4 linked regions of the Styela clava genome follow. The protein of the gene in region 2 purifies or fractionates together with the protein of the main gene of each other region. This does not show direct contact. Links are inferred from orthologs where the notes say so. Each region holds a gene or a part of one and is shown on either strand. Other genes may lie near its edges. The genes, in order: intraflagellar transport protein 46 homolog, intraflagellar transport protein 88 homolog, intraflagellar transport protein 81 homolog and intraflagellar transport protein 57 homolog.

Region 1 (7,526 bases), on a different chromosome or scaffold from region 2:
GGTACATAGTTTTATTCCCACATGTGTCGTAGGGATACAGACATTCATCATATATCATTCATTTTGGGGTTCCTAAGAGAGTATGTCTGCTCTTTGCAGAATTAGCGATGCGGCGCTCACTTTTATTACAATTGATATCAGAGCACAAGAGGTTGGTGACGGTCCTACTTAATGTGTGATTATGAGAGCAATTTCACCTAATGTTTTGGGGAAGTAGTGCAAAAATCAGATGTATGGCGACGGTCCTACTTATTATAAGCCTGATTATAGAGCAATTTCACCTAATGTTTTGGGTAAGTGGTGCAAAAATCAGATGCATGACAAGTACACAAATGGCTATCCTTAACCATTTACCCTTCCGGTGGGAGAATTAAGTATAGTTAAAAACTTAAGTTCTTTTGCCATGTATTAGAAAAATAGCATGAAAATTTTACAAATCAGAGAGTTGTCAAATTGAGTATTTATTTGTGGGCCAGAGTGGTAGAGGTCTATATAAAGATGTTCATGATGACCCAGTCCGAGCATACCGCCAACGATTTGATTGAAAACATTTTACAATTACTTTTTATCGTAATCAAGACGGACTTGTGTGACGTGCCAATAAATAGATTTAAATTAGGGCTTATAAAATGTCTCAAATATTTTACAATTAGTATCGTATATTTCAACTTAGTCGAGATACTTTGTGCGGCCACAGCAAAAAATCCGAAAGCAAATTGTGTCGGAATTAATTGTTTTCATACTCACTTTCGATAGTGACCGAACATAACAGGAAATTTTTACATTGCTGCAATTTACAGCGAAGAAAATAGTTCTCAACTATTATTTAGTATCGGGGATTTTACGTTATCCCGTTGTCGTTGATGATAATATTGTTCAGTAGGCGGTTTTAATTTAGGAGCATAACAACTGACATGAAAGATTTGAATCAGCGCTTACTAAAAAATAAAACACGATTTTCAGTCCTAATTTTTTGTCATTAGCTGATGGAAATTGGGTTCACTCATTTAATTATGACAATGACTGCGTAATAACATTTGCGTTTTTCTGAATCAACGAATGGTGGAGCAAAATAAAATTTAAAGATCACGCTTGCACAACAATTAATTTTTGTGTAGAGGGATAACTGTGGCTGAATTTAGCTTAACTATGTTGGTGGAATAAATAACACATACGCTGACGATAAACAGTCAGAAGTTATAACAAAAGTGTGTGTGTTGTTATTAACTTTGATTTTTCTGTAGAATTCAAAACATTTCACTAGACGAATAGTTGCACTTTTTTCTGTGAATACCAAGATACACCACCATTCACAGGTGTGAATACTGTATGTTTATCATGTCTTTTTTTCTTAGAAGCAAGAAAACCACTAATTTCAATACTATCACACATTCCATTTGTGCTGCTTTACAATGATATTATTATCAGAAAAGTGAATAAAATATGAGGGGAACTTTAGAATGTATTCGAAATAGCAAAGTATTTAGTTATGGCCATCCCTGGAGAGAGAGTGGTAACAGTTATATTGAATTATTATGAAAGTCTGAAGTGAGAGATCATACATAACAGTGATGAACACTATCTAAAACATATATACACTTAGAAACATTCGATACAAAAATATACTATAAATCATGACTAAGTTACTAGCGCAGTTCAATGGGACAAATTTGAATGAATGTGTCACAGTAACTGTTTCCATAAGCTGCAAATGAAAAAAGGAGCACCTGATGCAGTATTATATGACATTAATCAAAAGTCATTACATCTGGCTCGTTCACATCATGATGTTCATTGGGACTAGCAGTTTGAAAGTGCTGGGAATTCTTGAACTCCATGTAGAGGCTGAATAAAACGTGAAGTGATTGCACTTTATTGCCTGGATATATGGGAATATCTAACACGGCGCATATCATGTCAATATATTTTTGTAAATCACAATCAAGATCTGCAGATGGTAGTCGAACCTTAGAAAGAAGAGCTTCAAATTCAGGAGGCCATTCCTGCATGAGTTGTTCAATATCTGGCATGCTTTTTGTGTAGTGTACATTTTGTGGAAGCTTTGTCCTACGTAAATCTTCTATACTTTCAATCCAGGATTCCACAGATTTGGGATTGGTTTGAGCATCTTTGAGACTACGAACTTGCATTGCCTTTATACCAGACATTTTTGAGATACTCCTCAACTGCAGATCAAGAACCGTAGGGTCTGATTGCTTTGCACATGGTTCATCTAATACAGTGAGTCCAAGTAAACTGGATGAATTGTCAGGTTTTGATACTTTTATGAATGCATCAATGTCACCGACCGCAGGAATGTATTCAGGTATAAATGGTTTTAATTTGTGCTCAAGCTCAATAGTTTGAGGTGTGTATCGAGTAATGTATTGGAACAAATCTTTTATCTCCACGCTTACATTCAAACCTTCATAATCTGCAGGATCATAAGCACCTTCTAGGGCTGTTCCATTTTCTTCATCACCAGAAGACGAGTCGCTGTCCTCTGAAGAATCTCCTTCGCTCATTGTTGATGTCCCAGACCTTGCTTGAGCTTGGGGATCAGCAACATCACCAGGAGAACCATCAGTGGCATCGTTATCTCCAAATTCATTTGATATTTGATCATCATCATCTTGTGATGACATCTTATTATATTTTGGCTTCTCAGGTCCCGGTTGCAGAAGCGGTGTTGGAGTCTTTCTTGGGCTAGGGCTATATAAACTGGCAATTTCTTCAGAATCGTTCACATCCAAGCTTTCGTCGTAATGCTGATTAACAACTAGTTTAGTGTTTTCGTCATTTGAAGCCATGTACCATGTTACGAACAAATAAATGAATCAAGACTGCTGAAAGTGTTTGTTCAGACAATAGTTTAAGGTATTGAGCAGTGCAGAAAACTTGTACTTTTGACTTTTAAATTTATTAGTGAATGCAATATAGAACACCAGGGTGTTACAAATTTCATTAAACACCAAATCGGACTATAGCCTAGCCTTATATTTTAAAATAAAAAACTTGGGCAGTGAAATTCACGGTTTCATTTAGCCGTTTAGGTACCAAAACATTCATCCCTTAATTTAGCTCGATACCTATTTCACTACAAACACATGAATTTACAAGGATTTTATTATCTGGATTCAATTTGACGACTTTGGTTAATATAAATTTAATAGAAACCCTGATTTTGATAAATGTAATACCATAGGTCTACAACTGGCAAAAGATTATTGTTTATCGCACTAAAATTATAATCAGCTACAACCCAGCAGCAATCACTTATCAACGCTCTCCCACGACTAGACGAATAAACGATGACCATAGCGTATACCGTATAGTCTACACTTAAAAACCGACAAATAAAACTGCGAAATCGAGTCGACGCTCACAAAAAGTTGTTTAAATCGAGACTTCGATGTTCTGATGTTAAAGCAAGAGTCCGGGAAGTGATGAATTTTTGATTGTTACGTCACCATTGTTGCGTGATAAACAAAGAAATGGGTTGATCGCGAAACATTTACATTCATAAACCCTTTCCACTAACATTATTTTTGTCGTTTACTAGTTTCTGAGTTTACAGATTCAAAGCATTTACAATATCTGTAGAGCGACAATAGCTTCGCAGTGGTGTCTTGGAGATGGACGAGATTAAGCAATGCGTATCACTACTTAAATGTAGCTGTTGAAAATACTTATACGCTCTAATGAACTCTCGTATTAACAATCTCTCAAAATCACACGTGTGCCCTTGTCACTTTGGTACTGTGCAGGTTATGAATATGTTTGGGATAGGCCCGCTGTTATGTGTACGGCGGTACGTGGATTAATGTCTGATATGTTAGGTTTTCGTGATCGTTCATAGACCCCATTTACAGTAATGGCGTTCGTTTGTAGGAACCAATCATTTAAAATTAGCTCTTTTACTGGAATGTTTTCAAATTTTAGAGCATCGTCGCTCACAGGCAGACAGGCTTGCGCCATCGCAAATGATCGAGTGATGAATGACGCAATTGCTGCGTAATTTCAGTGTTTGGATGAATCCATCGAAAAATATGAAACTCTTTAGATGCGAACCCTAAAATGAAAAAACTTATAATTTGTCTTAAATTGAATACAAGAAGCTAATAGGCATGTATGGGTTTGGTTATTCAGATGTTAGGCAGGGGTGGGATGGGCGAGGTTTTTGAACCAGGGGCCAAAATTTACATTTTATTGAACGATATTTACAGTGATGCAAAAGTGGACAACAATGAGCCCTGTTAGCTTGTGATGAAGTTAAATTTAATGGCAATCTTGACAAATTTCTTGATTTTTATTTTATCTAAAACATCAAAAATTTGGTTTTAGTTTAGTTTTGCAGTTGTGGCAGCATCAGGTGGGCCAGATTGAATTACTCAACGGGCTGGATTTGACTCGTGGGCCGTAGTTTGCCCATGTCAGTGTTAGAGCGACTCAAAAGTAGAATCACAGTCAGTCCCTGCTTTTTCCCTCCTTTTAAGTCTGTGTGGCTTTCAAGATTGCCGTAATAGATGTTCCCCTACCAGACCAATTCTGATTACTGCGTCAGAAGCGGTGGTTTCCCATTTAAGAGATGTCATCTTAAGGATCAGTATGAAAAATGCCCATATATAAATACCAATATAAGTGAAATATGCTGTTTTTATATAGGCACAAGCATTCAATAAAACATATGAACCCAGAACCTGAGAATTTGGCATATCCTTTATAGCAGGGGTGTCAAACTCGTGGGTTTTGGAGGGCATTGCATTTTGGGAATTGTGCCGCAAACAGTTTTTGATGTTGATAATGTATATTTTTAGATAGGCCGAATATTTCCTAAATTTCAAATGCCATTTACATATTAATTTCTTGCATTTCACTATTATTGTTATTCACTGTAGGCTATTTTTTACAAAAAATTATAAATTTTTATATACAATTATCCAAAACATTTTTTAAAAATATTTTCGATAATAAAAAAATAATACATAGACTGAAAATGATTTATCTTATTATTTAGACCTAAAATTTACAAAAATACAGAATAAACCAATGTTTATTATTACATATTTTCTGGCGTTTGGCATCTCATTCGGGCCACCAGCTTACTAATATAAAGCTGAAATGATATTACAGTACCAAAATAATTGGGTCAAATGATAACTGAAAAATTTGTAAAACTATTTTCTGTAAATTGTCATTTTCTGTGTGAAAAATCAATTTCACTTTGAAATGTTTGAAAAATGTGTTATCATTCATTTAGATAAAAAAAAATTACCAAATATTACAATAATTGTTAAGTGTTCGAAGGTCGCAATGGAATCTCCCTGGGGTCGCATGCGGCCCGGGGCTGCGGGTTTGACACCCCTGCTTTACAGCATTTCAAGATCAAGATGTACATATTGAACATGGGCTATAAATAGGTGTGATTTTGTGATTAAATTCACAAAATAAATTGCATATTACAAAGTTTTGAATTTTAACTGCCTGGAAGGTTGTTGTAGTATATATCAAGTTATTCTGTTGAATTTTTTCCCATGTGCTGCTTTGAAACACACATACTGAAAAAACTTTTTTAGGAAATATTTTATCCCATTAACGCTCTTTAGCAGAGGATGGTGCAATGGCTAGAGTAGTTTAATGCAGTCCCGTTTGACCTTCCCTGGAAGTTGAAAAAAAATTTTCTATCTAAAGAACATTTTTCAAAATGTATCTAAAAAAAATAAATTCAATTTGAAAGTGAACTTTCTTCAAAATTAAGCAAATAGTCAAGTCAATCAATCATTAATATGCTGCCATATGACAACACTGGAAAGTAATTGTATTTTGATTTCATGGCAGCGGTGTATTTTTATTGCTTTGTTAAAGTGAAATATTTTCCAGGTTTCCTATAAATAGAATTCTATATTTCAAAAATTTAACTAGGAAAGTGAGGTATTGAATGTTCATTTTTAGAAATAAATTATGGACAATTCAATATTAAGCAAATTTTTTGGGAGCAAAGGTGCATCTGCAGATATTCCCGATGTAAAGTTTGATGCTGGCAGCTTACCTACACCACCAACTCCACCTGATAAAAATGACAATTCAGGACTCAAACCTGGAGATAAATGGTCAAGTTTTGATCCGACTGGCCTGGAGAGAGCAGCAAAAGCTGCCAGAGAGCTGGATGCATCTTGTATGAGTTTCATTTATGACATAAATTATAATTTATTAATACAGTAATATAACTAATCAGTATTTGTGTCAGCCCATATGAAATATTAGTTGGATTGGTTCTTAGTTGGATTAAGTGTTCTACTATTGTACTCTTCAGTCCAATTTGGTTTTTAATGATGAACTAAATTCCTTCGAAAATAAAATTAGGAATCATTACTTCACAAAAAATAGCATTAATCATGACATTGAAGCAATTATTGCTCTTCTATTTTGTACATTTGTTTTTGTCGTTTTATTTATTTAGTGTTCAAGACAGTTAATCCAAAGTTATAATATCCAAATGAGTTGTCATTTATGCATTTATGGCAACGATAATTCTTTTGTTCAGCTCATGCCAAAGATGCGTTGGAACTCTCGAAACATCAAGAACACACAAAACAAATTGAATTTCAAGCAAAAGTCAAGGTATTCAAATATTGTCATTTTATTTTTAAATATGGTTGACTCAAAGATGTAAATTTCTTATTGTCTTATTGTACAGTGATCAAATATATCATTTTTTTCTAGGAATATGAAACACATGTTGAACAATTGAAAATTGAACAAATCAGACAACAATCTGAGGAAAAAAGAAATAACTTACAGCAAGATGCAAAATTAAAGAAAGAGGTCAGGTTTGAGTAGACTTGCATAATTTGTTGAAGAGCCTGGCTGTAAACGTGTCAACTCTTTTTAATTTATGTAGATAATACCTTTGATATACTTAAAACAGATAAAATCATAAATCAATTTTAATATATTATACTATATTGAGTGAAATAAGTATATTGAAATACTCGATATGTTTTGATTGTCAGGCTCGTGTTAAATCGTATGACATTCTGTCAAACTGTGTATTTGATTTAGATCTGTGTATACATTACTTTCATTTCATCTAAACAAATAAAATGTCCCTTAACAAGTTTATTACATGTTTAAATTTAAAATTTTCATAAACTTCTCATAACAACATAATCATAGAGTCTTGGGACCTTTTCTATTTTACTATTTGGGCCTCACCTAAAAACATTGCTGGCCTAACGGTTGAAGCTTTGGCCCCAAAACTATGTTGGCATCGCGGATTAAATCTTGAGTTCCCTTGCCCGAGCACCCTCTCCCGAGATGTATTAAACTGGATTGGCAATCTCAAACCGGAAAGATTCCTATTCTTTCAAACAATGGTAGCTTTTTACCTAGCAGAGACCAATTGTGCAGAGCCTTGCTCAGAGTGAGGGACTTAATAAAAACGAACTTAAAAAAATGAGACATATTCACATAATAATTTTTGAACTTAAAAGAATAGTTGTTTTAATTCTGTACAATGTACATGT
Region 2 (7,015 bases):
GATTCCCATCTGAACTATTTGCACTCGCGGGAGTTCTATCCCCTCTACCGCTTCCTCCTCTACGGCCACCACTGCTTGCCCGTTGTTCTCTCATTTCTTTCGATTTTTCTGCTTTTTTCAACTTATTTGCATATTCTTGAAGCTCGTTTTGGAGTCCGAGGTCAACGCATAACCGGTTGATGAATTTCAAACACTCTACATTGTCGGGAAATTGGTTGTGAATCGATTTGTATTTTTCAAATGCAAGTTGGTAATTTCCGCTTCGTCGGTAACAGCTCGCAACCATTAATTGCCATTTTACTTCTTTAGGTTGTATTACAGCAGCTCGACTGTAATACCTCACAGCTTTTTCATAAAATTGAGATTGAATATAATAACCCCCCAGCCAATCGAGAGTTTCAATATCTGCAGGAAATAGTCGATACGCATCGTAACGATATTGAAACGCCTGCGACAAATCAGCATTTGTGTCATCCTTTTCACAAATCTTTGCAAGGTGTGATAAAATGCTTGGATCCGTGGATGCGATTCCGACACACTGCATCAACCATTCTTGAGCCTGGCTCCAATCTTCCATATGCTCATATAATGACGCAATATGATACATGACTTGAGAATCATGTCGCATTATGTTGTGTAATTTCAAAAAGCAGTCGAGAGATTCGTCCAGACGTTGTCGCTGTTTATACAAAAGTCCAAGATTGAATAAAGCTTCATGACACGATGAATCGTTCTCTAAAGCCTCTTTGTATAGCGTTTCTGCTCCGCTTACGTCTCCTTCAGAAAGAAGGCAGTTCGCCATGTTTGTTAACGAAGGAGCATTGAATCGGTCTGCCTTCGTAGCAATGTCTGCGTATCTCCGCGCATCAGCAAGGTTTCCTTGCAAATAATAAATAAATGAAAGATTAGTCGCAGCTTGACATTTGACCTGCGTTTCCTTTTTCTCGAATGTTTTTAGAATCTGAACAGCTTGAGGAAAATCTCTCTCCTTCAAATACATTAGAGCTTTGTGAATTTCTAGATCATTCGCCAGGTCAAGGCATGGTGAGTTTTTAACTTGGTCAATACACCAATCAAATCCAGCAGCGAAGGTATTTTCAACAGCAGGTGCGATGACTTTTGCAGCGCTTAAAATGGTCCATTCAGCTGTTGATCTTTGCTTGCGTTCAGCTTGGCGAAGCAAATCATTTTTGATAGCATCCAAATACACGCTCTCTTGCGTATTTTCTGGGTTTGTTGTGTATTTATCTTCATCATCAATTCCTAAATTAACAGAAAGCAATTTCTGAAAAGCTTTTTTCATCTTGTCACTATCACCGAGCGCAAAATAACAGAGAATCAAATTGAAACCTGTTCGGAAGTTCGGCTTTTCAGTCATAATATGTTCATACGACGTCGCTGCTTCATTGTATTGCCCCATTTTTAAAAACACAGCTCCAATATTTTGCATGATATGAATTCTCATATCTTTATGAGTGTTTGGAACCTGATCAAGAGCCATGCGATAGAATTTAATCGCCTTCATATATTGCCCTTGGTTGAAATATATATTTCCCATGTTGACTTTGAGGCGACCAGCATTGCTGAACATTTTATTTTTTACAACTACGTTGTAAGTATTCAAAGCTTCAGGGAACATTTCGTTTGCTTCGTATTGGACCGCAAGATTGAATAGAACAGAATATGTTAAGTCAAGATTTATGTTCTCGCTCAGACCGCTTTGCTCTCTTTGTCGTACGAGCGCTCGCTCTTTACGACCGGCATCTTTCGCTTTGTCAAGTGCAAGGGTGAGGTTCCCTTTACTTTGTGCAACAACGCTTTCCTCAATTAGTTCTCCAACTCGCTTTTCGAGTGCTTTTACTTTTTCTTCTGGTCCATTTTCTGATAGTGGGTCAAGAGGAGGGGCAATGCCACCTGGTCTATCTTTTCCTGCCTGGCTTAATGGATCAAAAGCAGCACCTTTACCTAAATTAGATGAGAAACCTGCTCCGGCGACGGAGGTCATAGGTCGAGCGCTCCCATCAGCAACGGCACCCGTAACCGGACGACCAAATGATGAAGGTGGAGGAATGGCATTTCGACCTAAGACTGGATTCGCGCCTCGTAGTGCCGTCATTGGAGGTCGTCGTCCGTGACTCGTTTTTACAGCGTTCATAAAACCTTCATCCTCTGCCAGATTTGCTGTGTCATACATAGGATTATATTCGTTGAATCCAGAATACAAGTCATCATTTTCTTCTTCCGTCGCGAGTCGAAGATTATCTAAATTGAAACTCATTTTCGATGTCCAGCGTCAAACAATTGTAATTTAAATCTGAAATGTAAAATGAACATGGGAAATCAAAATTTTGTCATCATTTTGTATTGTTAAAAATCACTAAAAAACAGATGTCCAATGGCTGAATGCAGGAATGGTGTCCAATAAAAATCAGACACTCAAAGAATAGAGTTTAAACACATTGTAAAAATATTTCTATCTGGAAAATCTTCTTTTAATTATCTGTTTAATTCCGATAATCAAAATTACTATAAATTGTAAAATCAGACATTTTTACAGGGCAACATAATTGCAATTTATATTAAAATTTGGCACATAGTCGGATTACACCACAAAATCTTAGTATTTTGATATACCTATTAACTTCAATACAAAATTATGGATACCTGTTTAAAATTTTTGCCAAATTGTATAAATATAGCAAACTTCTGGTCGCAAAAAAAAACATTTAGTAAATTATGTGGCATAAACACTGGAACTTCTTCTCCCCCGGGATAAATACCGGTACAGAAATATGTAAATCCTATCCCATCCTAACTGCCTAATAACTGAACAACGTAGCTACACTTTTATAGTTGGAGACTATTAAAGTTATAATATCGAACAAAAAAAATTAATTTAGCAACTTACCAGTATTCTACAGATTTTTAGCGAGTTATATCGGAATAGAAAACTTGAAAAACCAAATATTATCTCCGTACAGTTGTTTACTGTGTTGTATTTCAGTATTTGTGAAGAAAACCTTTCAACACTAGATGGCTACATGTTTCTATGTATTCCGTATTTATAGCGGTTGCTGTGTGTTCTGGTAGAATGGTTCAATGAGCATATATACATGCTCATTGAATGGTTACATTCCTAAAATGTTGGGGCGTTTGATTTTTGCAAGTTTTCTGATATTAACAACTTATACAAAATTGAAAATGATCATGGTAATTATTCATAAGAACGAAACAAAAGTCATAGATAACGAACGAAAAGCTACAGTACCTAATATTTATCCAGTAAATATTACTTTTTCCAAAATTTAGCAATGTAAAAATATTTCCGAAGTGCCAAGCAAAAAAATAGACAACCGGTTAGAAAGAACAAAATATATCAAGGCCTTGCCAAAAAAAGGTAGCTGTCAAGGGAGAAGCATTGTATATTGGTCACCGAGCAAAAAAATCCTCGTTTCAAAAACTTTACAATAAGAAGGGTAGGGTAGAATTTAAAAAAAAAGTCTTGTTGTAGGGGTGGACTGAAAATGTGATTACTCATGAACCCAGAGCTATTATGAACCCTTTTCTTTTTTTTTTTTTTTTTTTTTTTTTTATTATTAGATTTTCATAAAATAAAATAATATTGAATTAATCAATATTAGAAGATAAATAATACATTCATAAAAAGTAATATTTCACACTGTTTGAAATTGTAATCTAATAGTATGGTATGAGTGAACAGAAGATTGGAGAAATTTCACATTTTATCTATATACTATACAATCAATTACTAAATAAAATTATATTGAAATAAACAATATCAGTAATACAGTCATGAAAAGTATCACAATGTTTGCATTCGCAATCTAATTATGTTATTAGAAAACTGAGAAAATCTGACATTATATGTATATACCATACAGGGGCAATCATTTAGCAAAAAAAAATCTCACATTTTAGGTATATACCATATAAGGGCAATCATATAGCAAATAGAATAATATTGAAATAACAATTTTTAATTCAGCAATACAGTTATAAAAGGTAATTTCTCACAATGTTTGCAATTGTAGTCTAATAATGTTATAAGAAAACAGCAACATATCACATTTTATGTATTTAAGGAAAGAAAAACAATAATATGTAATTAAATAGCAAAAAGTCACTTGATCGACTATTATATAAATAAATGCCACTTTCTTTTGTGTATCAGGATTTTACTATTTTTCATTGCTATATATTTCTCGTTGTCACGAATATCACGAATAAATTTATAAAAAACATCAAAAATTGGTTTTCGTTTCTGGATCCGGCATCTATATATAAAGAAGCGGGCAGCCAATAGTACACAATTGATGAATTGTGCTGCCATCGTGTGTCGATAAAAAAATGTAAGGTCAGAGGGCGATAGAAATATCGGGATTTTGAGATTGTGTTCTGGGAAATTTGTGGCTAAAATTGTTTTAATTCAATTCAGCAAATAGAGTCGTTTTTATGTGCAATATTGATTAATCCGTTTTATGTTGTGTAATCACGTGACGTAACAGTTATTTATGTTTTGGTGCTTCTTTGGGTTACCGCAATCAGCCAATCATCAGGTTCCGTTTCACTGTTTCAGGGTTTAGTAAACAGTTCGCAATTTTCACATATTCCCGCATTACCGCTTTGTTCAATATGTTTGAAACAAATTTGATGTAATTTCGATTATGTTACTGTATTACTTGAATGAATGTTTTGTACTTTTTAGTTACAAATATTATTTCAAATACTGAAATATTTATTTATCTCATTTCGGCCTTTTAAATATAACGTTAAGTAAATATAAGCGGCGGTGTGGCAAAGGGCTAAGCATTAGGAATACGCTCGCCAACGCACCTATAATTACTCTGCGTGGGTTTGCAGGTTCGAATCCCATGCAGGGATGGTTATGTGCGAGAGGATTGCTGGACTCCTCGTCGTCGTTGGGTGGTTCACATAACCGCTGGTCGGTTACGGCTTCCTCCACTACCATGCTTCCGAAAAACAAACAATATAACTAATCCCATACCCGACTTGGAATGGTAACCGGACGAGAGGCCGTGGTTCGCCATATGGATAAGCCGTCTTATTCACTTTCCTCTCCCCCGGGATAAATATGTAAATATAAGTAGTTACTATGATATTTCGGGTCTGGTATAGTTTAGTACCAACAATTTTTGCATATGTCAATCCTAACCCCCACCTTATCGTTATGCTACACCCACTAAAAGTATGTCAGGTACGAAAATACCCATTGAGACCCATTTTTTTGTCAGGACAAGGTTCTAATCATTTGTCCAATTATTTTCAGTTAGTGCCTTAGTTCACCATAAGTTAATTTTATGTGTTTGAAGATGGGATATATCAAGGTGTCATTGCTACTTTTCTGTGTAGTTTTTGTCACAGCACATGACAGAAAACACATGTTTCAAACTCATTCTCTCGGTGCACAATTGAAGTTTCCTCCTCCTTTATCTGGCAACACTGCTCCAGGGAGTACTTGGCCAAAACCTCAGCAGATGACAATCCATACAGCGGTAAGTTCTGTGTATTTTAATTTTGAATCTAGCATGGCTTGTTGATTCAGAGGTTCGAATTCAATGGCACACTGAATTATCATTTTTCTCCTCCGTGATTAGTACGAAAAGTACCAGCACAACACAGTTCTCCGATTTCAAGAATAGCCCTCACATTAAAGAGTTTAAACATGAGAGAGGGAGTGCAAACCCCAATGTCATGAGACAGTTCGGTGCCTCCATATCACCACAAAATCAGTAAACTGGTACTGCGCAACAGACTAAAAGAACTAAATCTGAAAATGTCACTATTTCTCAAAAAAAGTAAACAATGTGATTCATCGGAGCAAAAAAAGTTCACCCTACCATTTAGGTTTTTTGCAAAACACAGTTGATGAGAATGAATTATGGTCTGGTGCTTAACTGGTTAGCTATATTCACTCTTGACATGTTTAAAAGACATACCAAATCATAATTCTTCACCCCATGCTTAGTATTGAAAATACTTTATAATACAGGATAAAAACACCTGTTTTTTAAGTTGTATGAATCTTGAAGTTGTATGAAGCGTGATTATTTTATACGGTGTCAACAGTATTTCAATCGAACAAGGTTCTGCGCAGGCATATTTGCTGAAATGCCAGTTGTTCAAATATTCTAAATCATTTCAGGGGTCTTACTACTTACTGAATACAGCGCGAAACACCGCAAAGAGCGCAAAACAGCGCAAAACAGAGGAAAACAGCGCGAAACAGAAGGAAACCAGCGCAAAACAGGAGACGCAGTCATTACCACCTCCTGCCATGTAAGAACCACGGCGCCTCTCGCCATGGTTTTATGGCGCTATTTCCGGTATATTTACAAGGTTATGTACCGGATTATAGGTCATCATGCGAAATTTTATCTACCTTTTTGGTGCTCCAGAAGTATGTGCAGCAATATGTCGCACAACCTGAATCCGCTACACACACACACACACATACTATTTTCAGGTTGTGCGCCATCTTGGTGCACATACGGTTTTGCGCTCTTTCGCACTATTTTGCGCTGTTTCCCTCTGTTTTGCGCTGTTTCGCGCTCTTTTGCGGTGTTTCGCGCTCTTTGCGGTGTTTCGCGCTGTATTCAGTAAGTAGTAAGACCGTCATTTCAGAGTTAAAATTAAAATTATGGAAAAAATGTATTTTAACTTTTTTTAAATATCTATAATATCTTATTTCATGAAAACCTAATCCTTTGGCAAAGTTGAATTTTAATATCTTTCATCTAAATTTTACGATATATTTTAGGTTTATCCGGTAGAAGTTGGAAACTTCGTGTTCACCTTGAATCCCTCAAGTAAAGTTTGTCCGATTATTACTGAAGCCTTCAAAAGATATCAAGAAATTATCAGAAAATATGCAGTGAACACTAAACTACATTTATTTCAGTAGGTTGATCCTTTTATGATGAAAAAGGCTGAAAGTTTGAAATTTTGTGTTTGGAAGAGTTAATAACTGAATTGC
Region 3 (7,116 bases), on a different chromosome or scaffold from region 2:
TTAGTAAGAACATAGTGGGCATATCCATTTTAGTAAAGACATAGCGGACATATAGCCATTTTAGTAAGAACATAGTGGACATAGCCATTTTAGTAAAGACATAGCGGACATATAGCCATTTTAGTATGGACTTAGCGGACATAGTCATTTTAGTAAAGACATAGCATACATATAGCCATTTTAGTATGGACATAGTGGGCATATCCATTTTAGTAGGGATATAGCGGGCATAGCCATTTTAGTAGGGACATAGCCATATTAGTAAAGACGTAGCCATTTTGGTAGGAACATAGCCATTTTAGTATGGACATGGCGGACATACCCATTTTAGTAGGAACATAGCGGACATAGCCATTTTAGCAGTGGCGGCGCGTCAATAGGGCCAACCGGGGCAATGCCCCGGTTGTTTTTTCGGCATAATAAAAAATATTTGAAAAATACCTCAATATCGGTTGCACACACTGTCTACACTAGCCATATTCTCCCGACATGGTTCATTTTTCGCTCGCAAAGCCTTCGCCGAACGTCGACAGGGCGACGCCGATTTTGCCCCGGTTGCTCATTGTATATCGTATTCTCTCTTTTATCTTCCACTCGCCGCGTTTGTCTCGTTTGTTTTCTGTTTCTTTTACTAAATCATCGGGGCTAGCCCCGAAATTATGACGACACAATGCCGACGTTTCTTACAACAACGTGTTGACATATTCACGCATTCCTTCTCGTTCGTTGGTTGCTTGAAGAGTTGATAGTTTCCTCGCCTTCGTTTTTGTCGCTTGTTTCGCTATTTGAATCAGTTAGAGACCTTTAGTCCATTTGCTTTCGATTTTCCACATTCCTTTTAAGCTCCTCACTTCTTTCCGGCTTCGCATTTCTTGGCCTTAGACCTCATAATGAATAAGGTTGATGCACTACTTCGCACTCCGTTTTCGCAGCTGCCGTTGGAACAAAAATTAGAGGTACCACGTCTTGGGCCTTACCAACCAAAAAAATGTTCACTGGAACAATCCCATGACGGAGGAAAGCGTCGGCGTACATTCTGCGCAAAAACTTGGTATAAAAAACACGAATGGTTGTGTTACAGCGAGGACAAAAATGCACTTTTTTGTTTTTATTGCCTACTTTTGCTACCGCCCGTGACTCACGTTGGTGTAAATTTGGTTTTAGAGATTTTAAACATCTTTCCGAGCGTGCCAGGGATCATCAATCTTCTATGGAGCATCTGGACAATGCAGTAAAATACCGAACATTCGGAAATGTTAATATTGCAGCACGGTTGGATGAAGGACGCGCGGTTTCTATTCGTCGGCACAACCAAAACGTCGAGAAAAACCGCCATGTTCTCGGTCGATTGATAGATGTTTTGAAGTTCATTGGTTGTCACGAGCTGTCCCTCCGTGGGCACGATGAACGGGCTGGCTCTTCTAATAGAGGGGTATTTTTGGATATGGTGGAATACACCGCATCCCTGATACAGTATTGAGAGATCATCTTGATGCCGCAACTGTTTCGAAAGGGACATCTAAGGATATCCAAAATGATTTGCTCGACTCAATGTATAAAATTTATTTACAGCATTTGGCTCTGGAAATTGAGAATTGCCAACTGAAATCACGTGCGTTTCCCAACTGGCTGTGATTTTTCGGTTTGTGAAAGATGGTAAACCTACCGAGAGATTTCACAGCTTTGTACCAATCGTTGATCGCACGGCTTGCGGGATATCGGCTGTACTGAAAGAAGTGTTACAGCCTTACAACGCGAAGTCAAAATTGATAGCTCAAACTTATGCAACCGATATTGAGGTATTTTTCGAATATTTTTTATTATACCGAAAAATTGCCCCGGTTGGCCCTATTGACGCGCCGCCACTGGATTTTCCTCATGCGCATTTTTTACATTGTTATGCACACCAATTTAACCTCGTTATTAAAAATATGTTTCTTGATACCCCTCTCGTCCGTATATTTTTTGCAAATGTTTCGGGGTTTTTATTCATTTTTTTCCGTTTCGCCGAAGCGCTCTGACCTCCTTCGCCAGATATGTAGCCGCCGTCTCCCAGCTTGTGCACCAACACGTTGGAACTTCCAATCACGCGTGGTGCAGGGCGTGTCCGAAATTAGGTCTGAGCTCATTGAATGTTTCAATGGCATTCAGAGCTCTCCGGTTTGGGACGAACGCTCTGTGAGGGAGGCGGCAGGTCTAAAGCGTCTGCTAGAAGATGGTGAGTTTTCATTTTTTCTCCACAATATTCTATCACGTGGATGTATTATACGGCGCATTGCAGTCAAGGCTAATGGATGGAGCGTCTGTGCAGTCGTGTATTTCAGACTTCTGCGATGCTGTATCTCGTATCCGGGAAACAATAATATACGACGACACATGGAGTGCTTCTTTACGCCGCGGGCAAACAACGCAGCGTTTGCATTTGTCTGCAAAGGAATGCTGTGACATTCTGGTGAATCAAATAGGCGATCGTCTGCGCACTGAACACCTTGCCGCGTTCTCTTTGATGAACCCCAAAAATTTTTCAAAATTGCACGTCAATTTCCCATCCATTTGTTGGCTACTGTCTCCAAATTTTACCCCATGATAAACGTGGGTAAATTGGAAAATGAATTGCGATGTATATACACCAATCAAACTTTTTTGAACATCACATCAACTTGCGCGCTCTATGGGTTCCTCATAGATAACACTCTAGTAACTCCCATTGCGGCGTCTGCAAAATTTCTGGACATCGTTTTGACGACGCCTATTTCTTCCGCCGACGCAGAGCGAACATTCAGCACGCTGAAGCGTATTAAAACGTATCTCAGAAACACAATGAAGCAAGATAGATTAAATTCCTTGGCTGTTTTATCCATTCACAGAGACGTTATTTCTGGGATGCATGACTTTAATCAGCGTGTTATTGAGCATTTTGCTTCCAAGAAACCGCGGCGTGTTGCATATATGTTCAAGCAGTAGAAGTCTAGCAGCATATATATCTATGAGTGAGCGACGCATGTCCTTATCTTTGCATTATCTTTTCTTTCTTCGTAGTAACGTTTTAAACCTTATTTTAGGTTTTGTCTGCTTTCCCGAAGTTTCTGTTAATATGTCATTGTATTTATCTGGGTAAATATTGCCTTTCCTTTTGAAAGAGGTTTCAAAAACAATGTCTATATATATTAATCCCTTGACTTGGACCGGTTTTAAAGACACTTTCTTATCGTTAAAAATTGTCGCTTTTGCCGATTGGTTGTTACCGATGGAATGGTTTTTATACTCATGAAATGATGGGAGAACTTACAGCGCTCATCCTGTCCCCGTAGATGGGGGTGACTTGGTCCCGCAGTAGCTTGCCCCGGTTGTCAAAATGACCACGCGCTGCCACTGCATTTTAGTAAACACATAGCGGACATATAGCCATTTTAGTATGGACATGGCGGACATAGCCATTTTAGTAGGGACATACCCCTTTTAGTAGGAACATATATCAAAAGGGGTGCATGCCGCACATTTGTGTTTTAGGCCAATATGGTCTTGTGCATACATCCCGTCTTCAGTATTTATAATTACTTACTCTTTTATATTGCTTTTACGAGACGAATAAACATACATACATACATAGCGAGCATAGCCATTTTAGTAAAGACATAGCGGGGACATATAGCCATTTCAGTATGAACATGGCGGACATAGCCATTTTAGTAAAGACATAGCATACATATAGCCATTTTAATATGGACATGGCGGACATAGCCATTTTAGTAGGGACATACCCATTTTAGTAGGAATATAGCGGGCATAGCCATTTTAGTGGGGACATAGCCATTTTGGTAGGAACATAGCTATTTCAGTATGAACATGGCGGACATACCCATTTTAGCCGACTTGTCTTTCAGCCTGCGGAATATTTATTTGAACTAACTTAGTTTCTAAGCGGTTCAAAAATTGCAATTTTCACGTTACTGTATTGTGAACTTGTTGCTGATTGTTTATGGTTACGGAAATAAACCAGGAAATCGATGCCCGGCGGAAACTTCCACTGTCCTTATTAACCGCTTCATTTAAGCACCGTTGTGCATCGAAGACTCTGAATTATTTATTATAGCTGTTCAGTGACCCTTGACCGCGTTCTATGTTTGTTAGCAACCTGCATTCCTGAACGTTTCTCGTTGACGCGTTCTTGTTTTTCTCAGAATAGCGTCCACAAATTGTGAAGTTTCTATGTGTAATTTTGGAAATTAACAACAAAAATGAATGATCAAGTGAAGAAAATTGTTGAAATATTGAATAAGAAGCCCTTTGAGAAGGAACTTAGTGCGATTGCGTTTCATTCGCTTGGATCTGAGCAGCTTATTCAGTTGATGAATGATATTTTAGCCCATATTGACAGCAGACATGCAGGGGATATACGGGAAGAAGCTCCGGACGCTAGAGCAGGTCGAATTTTGAATGCTTTGAAAAATCTGAAATATTCACCGCCTCCAAATGCCGATGTTTCAAGTTTTCGACAAGGAATTGTATTGGGGGAAAAGGAAGTTTATTGCCCAATTCTATTTTATCTCCTGACAAATCTGGATTCACTGAAAACTCGTGCCTACTTAGCAAAGTTTTTGGTGAAGTTACAGCTTCCTCCTGAATTTGTTCAAGATTTTTCGGATGCACAAATGCAAGAGGCTTGGCATCGGTACGAAGAACTTCAAGATCATTTTCTGAACTGCCACAAGGAGTACGTTGATCTGAAAAAACAAAGTCATGGTACCGGTGAAATCCGCAGCGATATTACCACCATGGAAGAAGAGAAAGAAAACCTTTCAAAACGTGTAACTCGACTTCGTAAAAAAGTTGAAACATTTCCAAATCTTAGCGAAGCATTATCCACTGCACAAAACATGCGTAAAGAAAAAGAACGAGCAGATGATTTGAAGTTAAAAATACAACAACAACGACGTCAGTTACAACTCAGCGAACAAAGATTACAGAACGCTAGACAGAGTCTCCAAGACGCACGACAGGCTGGCTCGAACGCAAACCCCGAATCGATAATTGGGAGAATGGAAGAAGACAACCGTGTCAATAAATATTTAATCGATGAAAAGTTACCGAAAGAAATGAAAAGTCGGAAAAAGTTTTTACAGAGTTTACAACAAGTTGCATTGGAGCCTGCGATCACGCAAAACGATCTGGACAGGATTGAATCAGATATTCAAGACATGAAAAATAATATCAACAGTCTTGTCGAACAACGAATGGTCAAAAATTACCCAGCGAAAGATAATTTGACAATGTATCGCCAACAAGCTTCGATCCTACAACATAAGAAAGAGACTGTGTCGGAATCATTGCAAGAAACGCAAGAAGAGTTTCAAAAACTGGAAAGTGATGTTAAAAAAAAGAGACAACAGCTTACTGAAATGGGGGGAGAAGTTCTCCGTGGAGAAGCGTTTAAAAATTATGTTTCAAAGTTACGTGGAAAAAGTAACAATTACAAAAAGTCCAGACAAGAGTTATCAGACCTTAGAGCAGAGCATGGTGTTCTCTCTCGCACTGAACAGCTTCTAAAACAAAAACACGAAGATGCGCAAAAAACTCTCCGCACTCGAGAACTTAAAAGTGGAGTTTCAGGTTTTCGTGATACCCAAGATGACTTGGAAAAAGTATCGTCGATGAAAAGTGAACTTGATGACGCAAAACATCGTACTTTAGATGACATGTCAGATGCCGTAAAACGTCTTAATTCAATCATCCAAGACAAGAAATCTGACCTTGCCCCGCAGATCCGTGAACTACGACCTTTACGTCAAAAGAACCAGGAATTGATGCAGGAATGGACTGAGAAAAAGGGGCATTACGATGGAGTTCTTGCCGGGCTTGAGTCAAACCGTGCTCAATTGGAACAGACAGTTACAGGATTACGAGAATTCTGCTCAGAAACGGAGAGCCGATATTTTTACTTGAAAAGCATGAATAAAATTATCGAAGTCCAATTAGAACGAGCAAATAAGGAATTACGGACGTACATGTCCGCGACTGGAGCAGATAAACAGAAATCCTATCGAGAGATTTACAATAAAAAGATACAAGAGCAAGAAAATAGAGCAAAAGCACTTCGTGAATCTCAGAAGCAAGTTCGTGAAAATCACGATCAGAATCAAAAACAAATGTTAATGTGGTCGGATCTAGATAAAATAATGCAATGTAAATTGGACTGTGCTAAAAAGATGATGAACTAGGATTATTCATCAAAATGACTGTATTTTGAGAAGATATTGGGCCCAGGGGACGGTACATTACTCCTATATAAGCTTCAAATTTTTGTATTATGGTATCGTATTTTGATGTTGAATTCAACAAATACTTTAAGACAATGAAAATAGTAAAAAGCAACATAGCCTGGGCAATATGAAAAATCTCCAGAATTGCTGATGTCCTTTGACTCTTGGTTTAAAGACCTATTATTGATTATTGAATCCCTAATTAAAGGAATGAAAGGAACTATTATTTTTACAAGAACTAGAATTCTTTTTTGATTCAGCATCAATTCATTACACTCTGCTCTGGGTATGGGGGGATTTATTAGATACCGTACACAAATTATTGTAGTACTTTGTGCATGTCAAGTTATGTTGAAATATTAGCCTTTTTGTATAATTTTATTTCAAAGCCTTTAACCTTGTGTTGCTTATCTGACTGTTGTAAAATGTCATCGGCCCAGTACAAGATTTATCCCAAAATCTTCTAATGAGCTAACATTTATAAATTGTAGACATTTCTCTGATATCTGGTTCAGAAAGTGTTTAATATTGGTAACAAAAATGAATTCGTAATTTTATTTTATTTTCACTATTACTGCAATGTGATTTAAATTTGTTCTGATCACCATGCATAAGGCTAGCAAAAGATTCGTCTTAATTTACCAAGAATCTAATTAGATGCTTATTTGGTTCCCGGTTTTGGAAATGTGTAATACCGAGTGCAAGGTTTGAATGTGAATTTTTCGGTTTTTACTCTGAATGCAATGTTGTTTCAAATTGGGGGCTAACCCTAACAAGTTCAGATTTTATTATCTAAATAGTTGGGAACCCTTCCTAGCAAAATTGTACATATTCAAACACGCCTATATTGAAGTAT
Region 4 (7,186 bases), on a different chromosome or scaffold from region 2:
TTACCTATGATAGGATACACCTGAATAAATGGAAATTATCTAGATGACAATATTTACCTTCCCCACTGGAAATTACTTGACCTCAATGCTTCTTCAGTCAAACGATCAAGGATATAACAAACATATTCTCCACATCCTTGCTTCAACTTGGATGGTGGAAAATCAATCGCGACTCCCTGAAAATTTTCAAGAAAGAATAAAAAATCACAAATACAATATTTAGTCTCTCCACGATTGAAAATGTTTAATTATGATTTAAAAAATTGTTATACATACCATTCGTTTTACTTCTTCCAATATACTTGATATAGTAGCATTGGGATCATCAAATTCTTGTGGCATGTCAAATGGACGACCAATGATGTTAAGAAGCCAGGCAGAAATTGAAGTGAATGCATGAAACTGTTCACCAGGATTTGTAGGGACCGCAAAATAATGTCTGTGAGCAAACCAAAAGATGTCATAAATAAAAAGAGACAGATGGCTTGTATTCAAAAACTGAAATATGGTTCGAACAGCAAATGTACAATCATTTTTGTGACTGCTGTTAGCATCATTGTAAATATTATACAAAAGTATGTGTGAAGCGAAATTACAAACTGAAATTTTTGACCCACTTTATAAATTGCAATACGAGATTACAATTATCACAATCTTTTATTTTCACCGTCAAAAAACCCTTTGAGTATTGACCAAAGATTTTCTGAAAGTCCCCACCCATTTCATAGCTGATAATACCTTGTTAGAGGTTTCATGTTGTTTGGCCTCATGAAATTTTCCTCAAAATTTAACAATTTCAGCTTATCCAGCAAATCTGACATCACTTCAAATACTTGATATGAAGCACCTGTTAATTGGAATGTAATTAGATAAAATCGAGATTATTCAAATTCAGGATTTTGTACATGGACCCTTAACCAAAAATTTATACCCAACATGACTAATAAAGTAAAGTTACCGTACTACCCACATCTACAGACCGACAAGTAGGAATGTTACAAAACGCACATTTTCGCAATAAAAAATGTACGCATCACTTCTGCTAGGTACCGTTACCGCCATACTTGAGTACCGCATATAAAAACGGCTACGGATTGCCAGCGATAGTTAGTGTTTCCATGAAATTTTGACATAAATTAGATAAAAAACACGACTATGACCTTGTTTTTGAATTTTTCCATTAGCGCAAATATTTCCTATCATGCGAATCTTTTAAAAATACCTTCCAACTTAAACGTGCTACAAATTAATGATCCCGTCTAATGACACCTATAAAATCTATAATGACACGCGTGTCTCTTTCTTAACTTGAAACTTGCCAATTTTTGTGAAGTTTGCTCGATCCGAACATCGTTAATTATTAGCCGGAACGAACCACTGTTCATTTAACATACCCACCTCCGACTTTGAATTTGCGACAATCCGCCGATGGCCTCATTGACCGTTGCCAGAATTAAATTATGAAAGAGCCTTGATATTTCATAGATGTGACGCATATCGAGAGATTAGAGATTAATATAGAATGTTTTCCACAATAAATAAAATTCTCTAAAAAAAACAGAATTTGCAAGCGTTTTTCGAAAACGCTACGAAATATTTCAAGACACGTTTAATACTATCTTAGCGTGAGTCTGTCAACTCGCAGATAGTTATCGACCGAATTGTCGACATCATCTCGGGCGCTGAATTTTCTCGTTCTGAGTTTTCGTAAACACAGTAAATATCTTACGTGCAGGTAGATTTTAAATTGTTCAGTGAATACAGTCAGATATGGAAGCTTTAAATCAGTTTATTGACTTCGAGAAATTAAGACATTTTCTTGTACATAATTAATTAAAAAAGACTGTTATTTCATTGAAAAGAATTTGTAAAGTTGTTTTATTTGGTTTATATTTTCACGTTATCTTTTCGTTCCAAATTTCATTTGATTACCTTCCAAAATAGCGAAGATAGAAATTGTTATTTATCGGTCTCACATTCTTGCGGTCACAGTTTTTGAGCCAGCGTAATGCTAACCTTATGGAGAAAAATTGGCCTATCGGGCGGTACTAAAATGCCGATATCTCCGTTAATTCTTGACCGTTTTTCGCAAACTTGGTATTGTTTTCTTATTTTGACTTAGATCCATCCACTGACGCAGTTATTATTTACCGAATTTTTCGGCAAATAAGTTGCTTTTCTAGACCCAAATTTTCGGCCAGATTTGGGGGGGGGGTCGTCTTATTAGGCGAGTATAATAATTTTAATTTGTTTGGTGTCGCCTTATTATGTATTAGGGAATGTTCTTTTATGGTGGAAAAAATCGTGAGTTGAACACAATTAGATGAAAATTTAAAGAGTTTAAATTCCCGTAGTTATTATGGATTGAATATTACGCTACAAGAAAACGTCGTTATACCGGTAGGCTATTTTAACCAATGCGCAAACGCGGTGACCGCTCAAAGGGCATTGCATGGTAATTTGAGATTCCGATGTTGATGCGATTTTACAACCCCGACTTATTGGCAGGTTACCGGTACCGGTATATGTAAAAACCCATTTTTTTAGTCTTAAAAACGGTCCTCGTCTTATTGACCGGGTAGACTCATTCGCCGAGAAATACGGTAAATCCGATTGACTTCAAATTTTTTTTAACATACCTACGACAAGCTGACAAGTGAAAACAACACACAAATCATACCGGTACCGTACCGTACCTGGGCCACGGTCTTCATCTTCTCCGCCTCTTCTAACGTCATCCGTCATTATACTGCCACAGTGTACCCAAACAGCCCTTGAATATGAGAGGTATTTGATCACCGAAGACGAGGAAATGTACGAGAAGCCCACTTCGTTCTGGCAGCCGTATTGGACAGAAAAAACTTGGCACTTAGTTAGTTTTGATGCTAAATGTAGCGGTTAGATGGCCCGTGAATGTTTTTCTGACCTTCAACCTCAGAATTCATTCAAGTTCAAAATCACCATTTCAATTCAAAATATTTAACTAATTGACAGTAAAAGTATTGACAGTCAATTTTATATATTAAATGGACATTTCGGCGTAACCGAGAAAAGATTTGAGCGCCTTATCATGCATAGGGTTACCATATTTTTGTGACTTCAAATCGGGACGCCTCAAAAAACAATGACCCCCTAGCTGTGATTTTGTAACTTTACATTTTTCGATTTTACTACATAGGCCTAAACATTCCTACTTTCAAAGCTGTCCCGGCTGGCTTTATTGAACATATTGTTATCGAAATTTCATGCGCATATTCGCTGTCCAAATAATTCGAATTTGGACTAAGTAATTAGTATTGGTTTTACATGCGATACGTCTGCTACCAATGGGAATCAGCGGGAAACAAACGCATTCACCTTCAGTAAGTAGGCTAGCGCCTCGCTACACAGCAACAACGGTAACAAGAACATGTTCGTGTAACATGCTGGACGCAAAAGCGGGACTTTTGGCTGACCTGTCGGGACGGCGGGACAAAACGCTGAAAAGCGAGACCGTCCCGCCTAAAGCGGGACGTATGGTAGGCCTAACCATGCATACAACCTGCCAAAACTAAAACTTCTTTCTACAGTTATTGTCACAGTACATTTTACCATCAATATTATAATAAATCATGGTTCAATCAATTTGGACGTGGTCACATAACTGAAATATAATCAAGCGTCCTCCATGCCCCTCACATTTTCTTTGCGCGCTATTATCACAGTTTAGTTGTTGTACTATGGTTCATCAGATCAGGAGACCCAAGATTCGGATTGGTTATTCATTCATTTTTTTATTTTTCTGATTAAGGATTCAATCGTTTATTAAAAAAAATAAAGACAATAATGATAAATAAACATCACACATAATTACATACAAAAACAAGAGAGCTATGCTCAAATATATGGACCCGTCAAAAGGTGTCGCTATTTCTTTATTCTGACGCATAAAAAACGAATCTCTTGAAGTCCACAGAAATTTTTGAAATAAGTAAAAGTAATAGCCTTCTGGCGAAAAAAATCAATCTTTAATCACTGAAAATTTCAAAGCAATAGGTCCAGTATTCGAAGAAAAAAGCGATTTTATCACGACGAAAGAAAAACAAGAACAACAACATAATATTGAAACGATCGTTATGTACACTGACGTGTCCAACAAGAATATGCATCAACGGCAATTTCAGTTATCCAATGTTTCACCTAATATTTCCAAACAATCCATAGTGTTCCACTGTTGTATTCGCCATGTAGATTTCACCATAGTCATCAGTGAATTCAAGTCCTTATGTAAAACCGTAAATATATACTACTACTAGATGTCCAACTCCGCTCGCCCTATAATAAACAAACAAAGGCGATGTTGCACCTCCAAGTGGCGGGCGTCACGGTTGGTTTTGTTCAGACAAGATGCTTAACGACGACGACGCTCCTGCATAAAAAAACTACCCTGTTCATTGATGACTGATCGAAATATTTGCTGAAGGACGAAGAAATTTGATAAAAATGAATAAATAATTGTGAAAATGAAGACAAAGTCTGTCTTGCAAATGACCAGGATGATGTGACAACTTCCTTGTCGAAAGAAAGCAAGGCATCAAAAATGCGATGCATTGCAAAAAATGTCAGTCAGATGTAGGTAAAGTAGTGACGAAAATGAATACTTTGCACTTTATATAAAAAAAACGCTTGGTAGCACAGCATTTTGGTCTCACTCCATCTCAAGTATTGTAGCTTTCACAGTAGTTTTTTCTCCACTTGACCTATAATCAGGGCTGCCACAACGTCCTTATTTTTAGAATTTGTCCTTATTTTGAAGATCTTTGTTTTAGGAAATATTTTTGCAATTTGCTTATAATATATTAATGTTAAAAAATATTTGGCGAACCGGCAGCAAGGTTGCCGCGGACCGGCGGTTGAGAACCACTGATTTAGAAGACTTTTATCTTACACTTAAAAGGGGGTCTGACAGATGTTTGGTCCAATGTGGTATATCACATGTTGAAGGTACCAGTATTTGGAGCCCTTCATACGCTGGAGAAGCAATGAAATGTTGTTGTTTTTTAAATATGACTACAGAATGTGTTGCATGTAGCTGTATAGCATTTATTTTGTTAAAAAATCCTTGAGATAATCACCTGTTGTAGACTTTCAGTGTGTAAAATAATTAATGAAATTTAAGCTGATCTAATGCATATTTTGCTATTTGCAAAACTTGGCGTTGCTTCAAATTCAGACATCTCCGAAATCCTAGCAACAGATGCAGGAAAAAACCTACAAAGAAAAATTTCCCCAGTTCATCTGTTATTAATGACATGAATACTGTTGGTAATTTCAGAAATAATAATCATGATACAAGTATTTAATTGCTCAATAGGAGATAGAATAATACAAATGAATTAATACCCAAAACAATTCTTTGTGCTATACCTGTGCTTAATATTTAACAGACATTTTTATCGAGCTATTGAGTTAAAAATGTTGGTCTATTAGTTTACATGGCTGTTTCAAATGTTTTTTTAGACATATCTTCATAAATTCCGTCTAGATGTGTTTCCATGCCAAAACCCCATCTGATTACAGCAAATCATTCTTCAAAAGTGAGTTTCGAGACGTCTGCAAAAACTTATATTTTAGTTACGATATTTTGGAATAAATTGCCCACAACGATCGAACCTTGTCTACCATCTAAGCATGTATGTGTTTATATATAAGTATAACAGCCACTTTGACAAAATATTATTTGAAACAAAAATGTGAATACCCCACAAAACAAATTGGAATTAATAAAATGTAACGGTTCCAGGAGAAATATTAATGCATTCAATGAATGTGGTGGATTTTGCAGTAGCAAAAAAGTTATTGCTATTGATCACAAATCAATAATTCAAAAACACTCGACAAAATAATTCAAAACTTTTTGGCACATCTAAAATTATAAATATATATATATATATATGTTGAAGCCATGTTTAGATAATAGCAATAATAGATATCCAATTTATGTGAAAAAAGTTATTAGTACCAGCCTGAAATCAAGCAAAATGGGTTATCATGACAAACGTAAAACACCTCTTAGCTTGTAATATGCAGCTGGTGACTTCGTATACAATGACAGAATGAGTCTGGGAAAAAATTATCAAGATCAGTAGAACTCCATCATAAAACACTAATTAATTGAAGTTAAAATATGTGTGTTTAATTTATGTTTTTCATACAGACGTCACAATTTCAATCACCCATCAGTCAGTCAATTTATATTCTTGTTCACTGCTTTGATCACACAGCATAAATCCTCACACTGCAACTTTTTTATGATCCGAAAATACACATATCTCTTATCAAAATTTACATTCCTTGACAAATCATTACTGGGTACCTATAAGAACATTTACAACTTACTCTTTTTTTATGCTGAACAATCGTAGCACGAAGCGGCTCTCTACTAGACTACATCTACTCATGGGAGCTTTAAAGTGAATTTAAAATCTTACTGCCAATGTGCTTTCGAGTGCTGAACCGGTCCTAGGGCCTTCCCACTCAATTGATTGTTCCTCTATTTTGTTTTGTAATCTGCATTCTATCAGTTCTATAGTCAAGTATATCGTGTAATATTTCATGTGCACAACTAACTTGAATGTTTATAAGTCACTCACTTAACCTTGACGTGAGACAGCGCCGTCAGAATACAGAAAAACGGAGGAAGTCGCACGATGATTTTCGAAGCAATAATAATCTGTCAGCACCAAGTCAAGCGTGTCGGCGAATTCAACACCGGGACCAAATTTCCGGAGATACACGGGATTGGTAAAACAAAATTGCTGTCTCGATTTCTCCCCATTTCTTCATGCTAAAGGAAATTTTCTAATTCTCCTTTTAACATTATACTTGTATTAGCATTCTAAAAGGTCAATATATTCGCTCCAATCATATTTTATTTTTTACATTAAACAGAAGTTGCATGAATGGATTATAATGAAAATGAATAAATGTGAATACCGTAACACTTATTATTTTCAAGTTATTCACAATTTTTCAACTGATGTGCATTTTCTTACAATTGGGACCGCGTCCACAGGTTTCAAGAACCCTTCTAAGTATTCCTGCAATTCCCACAAGAGCCATCTTTTGTAAATATTTCCAATATATTCGGAAATCTATATCTTTTAAATAAATTTATAGCTCGTGTAAAACTGCTAAATCTTTGTCC

What was found.
Region 1: the proteins of intraflagellar transport protein 88 homolog (region 2) and intraflagellar transport protein 46 homolog purify together in Homo sapiens (affinity purification with mass spectrometry; 3 studies listed by BioGRID and IntAct, with this or other methods). This does not show direct contact. The link is inferred for Styela clava from reciprocal best matches to the Homo sapiens genes IFT88 and IFT46.
Region 3: the proteins of intraflagellar transport protein 88 homolog (region 2) and intraflagellar transport protein 81 homolog fractionate together in Homo sapiens (co-fractionation; 3 studies listed by BioGRID and IntAct, with this or other methods). This does not show direct contact. The link is inferred for Styela clava from reciprocal best matches to the Homo sapiens genes IFT88 and IFT81.
Region 4: the proteins of intraflagellar transport protein 88 homolog (region 2) and intraflagellar transport protein 57 homolog purify together in Homo sapiens (affinity purification with mass spectrometry; 3 studies listed by BioGRID and IntAct, counting the BioPlex papers as one, with this or other methods). This does not show direct contact. The link is inferred for Styela clava from reciprocal best matches to the Homo sapiens genes IFT88 and IFT57.

The regions. Positions count from the first base shown.
Region 1 is NC_135257.1:13,329,641-13,337,166, reverse strand, and holds intraflagellar transport protein 46 homolog, read right to left. Parts: upstream 3,025-7,526; 5' UTR 2,811-3,024; coding exon 1,749-2,810; 3' UTR 393-1,748; downstream 1-392. Other genes in the region: ATPase family AAA domain-containing protein 3-like, read left to right, coding at 5,962-6,175, 6,545-6,621, 6,724-6,825. UniProt on the Homo sapiens protein: Forms part of a complex involved in intraflagellar transport (IFT), the bi-directional movement of particles required for the assembly, maintenance and functioning of primary cilia. May play a role in chondrocyte maturation and skeletogenesis.
Region 2 is NC_135264.1:14,458,028-14,465,042, reverse strand, and holds the start of intraflagellar transport protein 88 homolog, read right to left. Parts: upstream 3,026-7,015; 5' UTR 2,909-3,025; intron 2,315-2,908; 5' UTR 2,279-2,314; coding exon 1-2,278. Other genes in the region: beta-hexosaminidase subunit beta-like, read left to right, coding at 5,340-5,534, 6,800-6,939. UniProt on the Homo sapiens protein: Positively regulates primary cilium biogenesis. Also involved in autophagy since it is required for trafficking of ATG16L and the expansion of the autophagic compartment.
Region 3 is NC_135262.1:1,880,870-1,887,985, reverse strand, and holds the start of intraflagellar transport protein 81 homolog, read left to right. Parts: upstream 1-4,111; 5' UTR 4,112-4,238; coding exon 4,239-6,218; 3' UTR 6,219-7,116. UniProt on the Homo sapiens protein: Component of the intraflagellar transport (IFT) complex B: together with IFT74, forms a tubulin-binding module that specifically mediates transport of tubulin within the cilium. Binds tubulin via its CH (calponin-homology)-like region.
Region 4 is NC_135253.1:4,226,690-4,233,875, reverse strand, and holds the start of intraflagellar transport protein 57 homolog, read right to left. Parts: upstream 3,026-7,186; 5' UTR 2,746-3,025; coding exon 2,697-2,745; intron 848-2,696; coding exon 739-847; intron 440-738; coding exon 277-439; intron 177-276; coding exon 58-176; intron 1-57. UniProt on the Homo sapiens protein: Required for the formation of cilia. Plays an indirect role in sonic hedgehog signaling, cilia being required for all activity of the hedgehog pathway.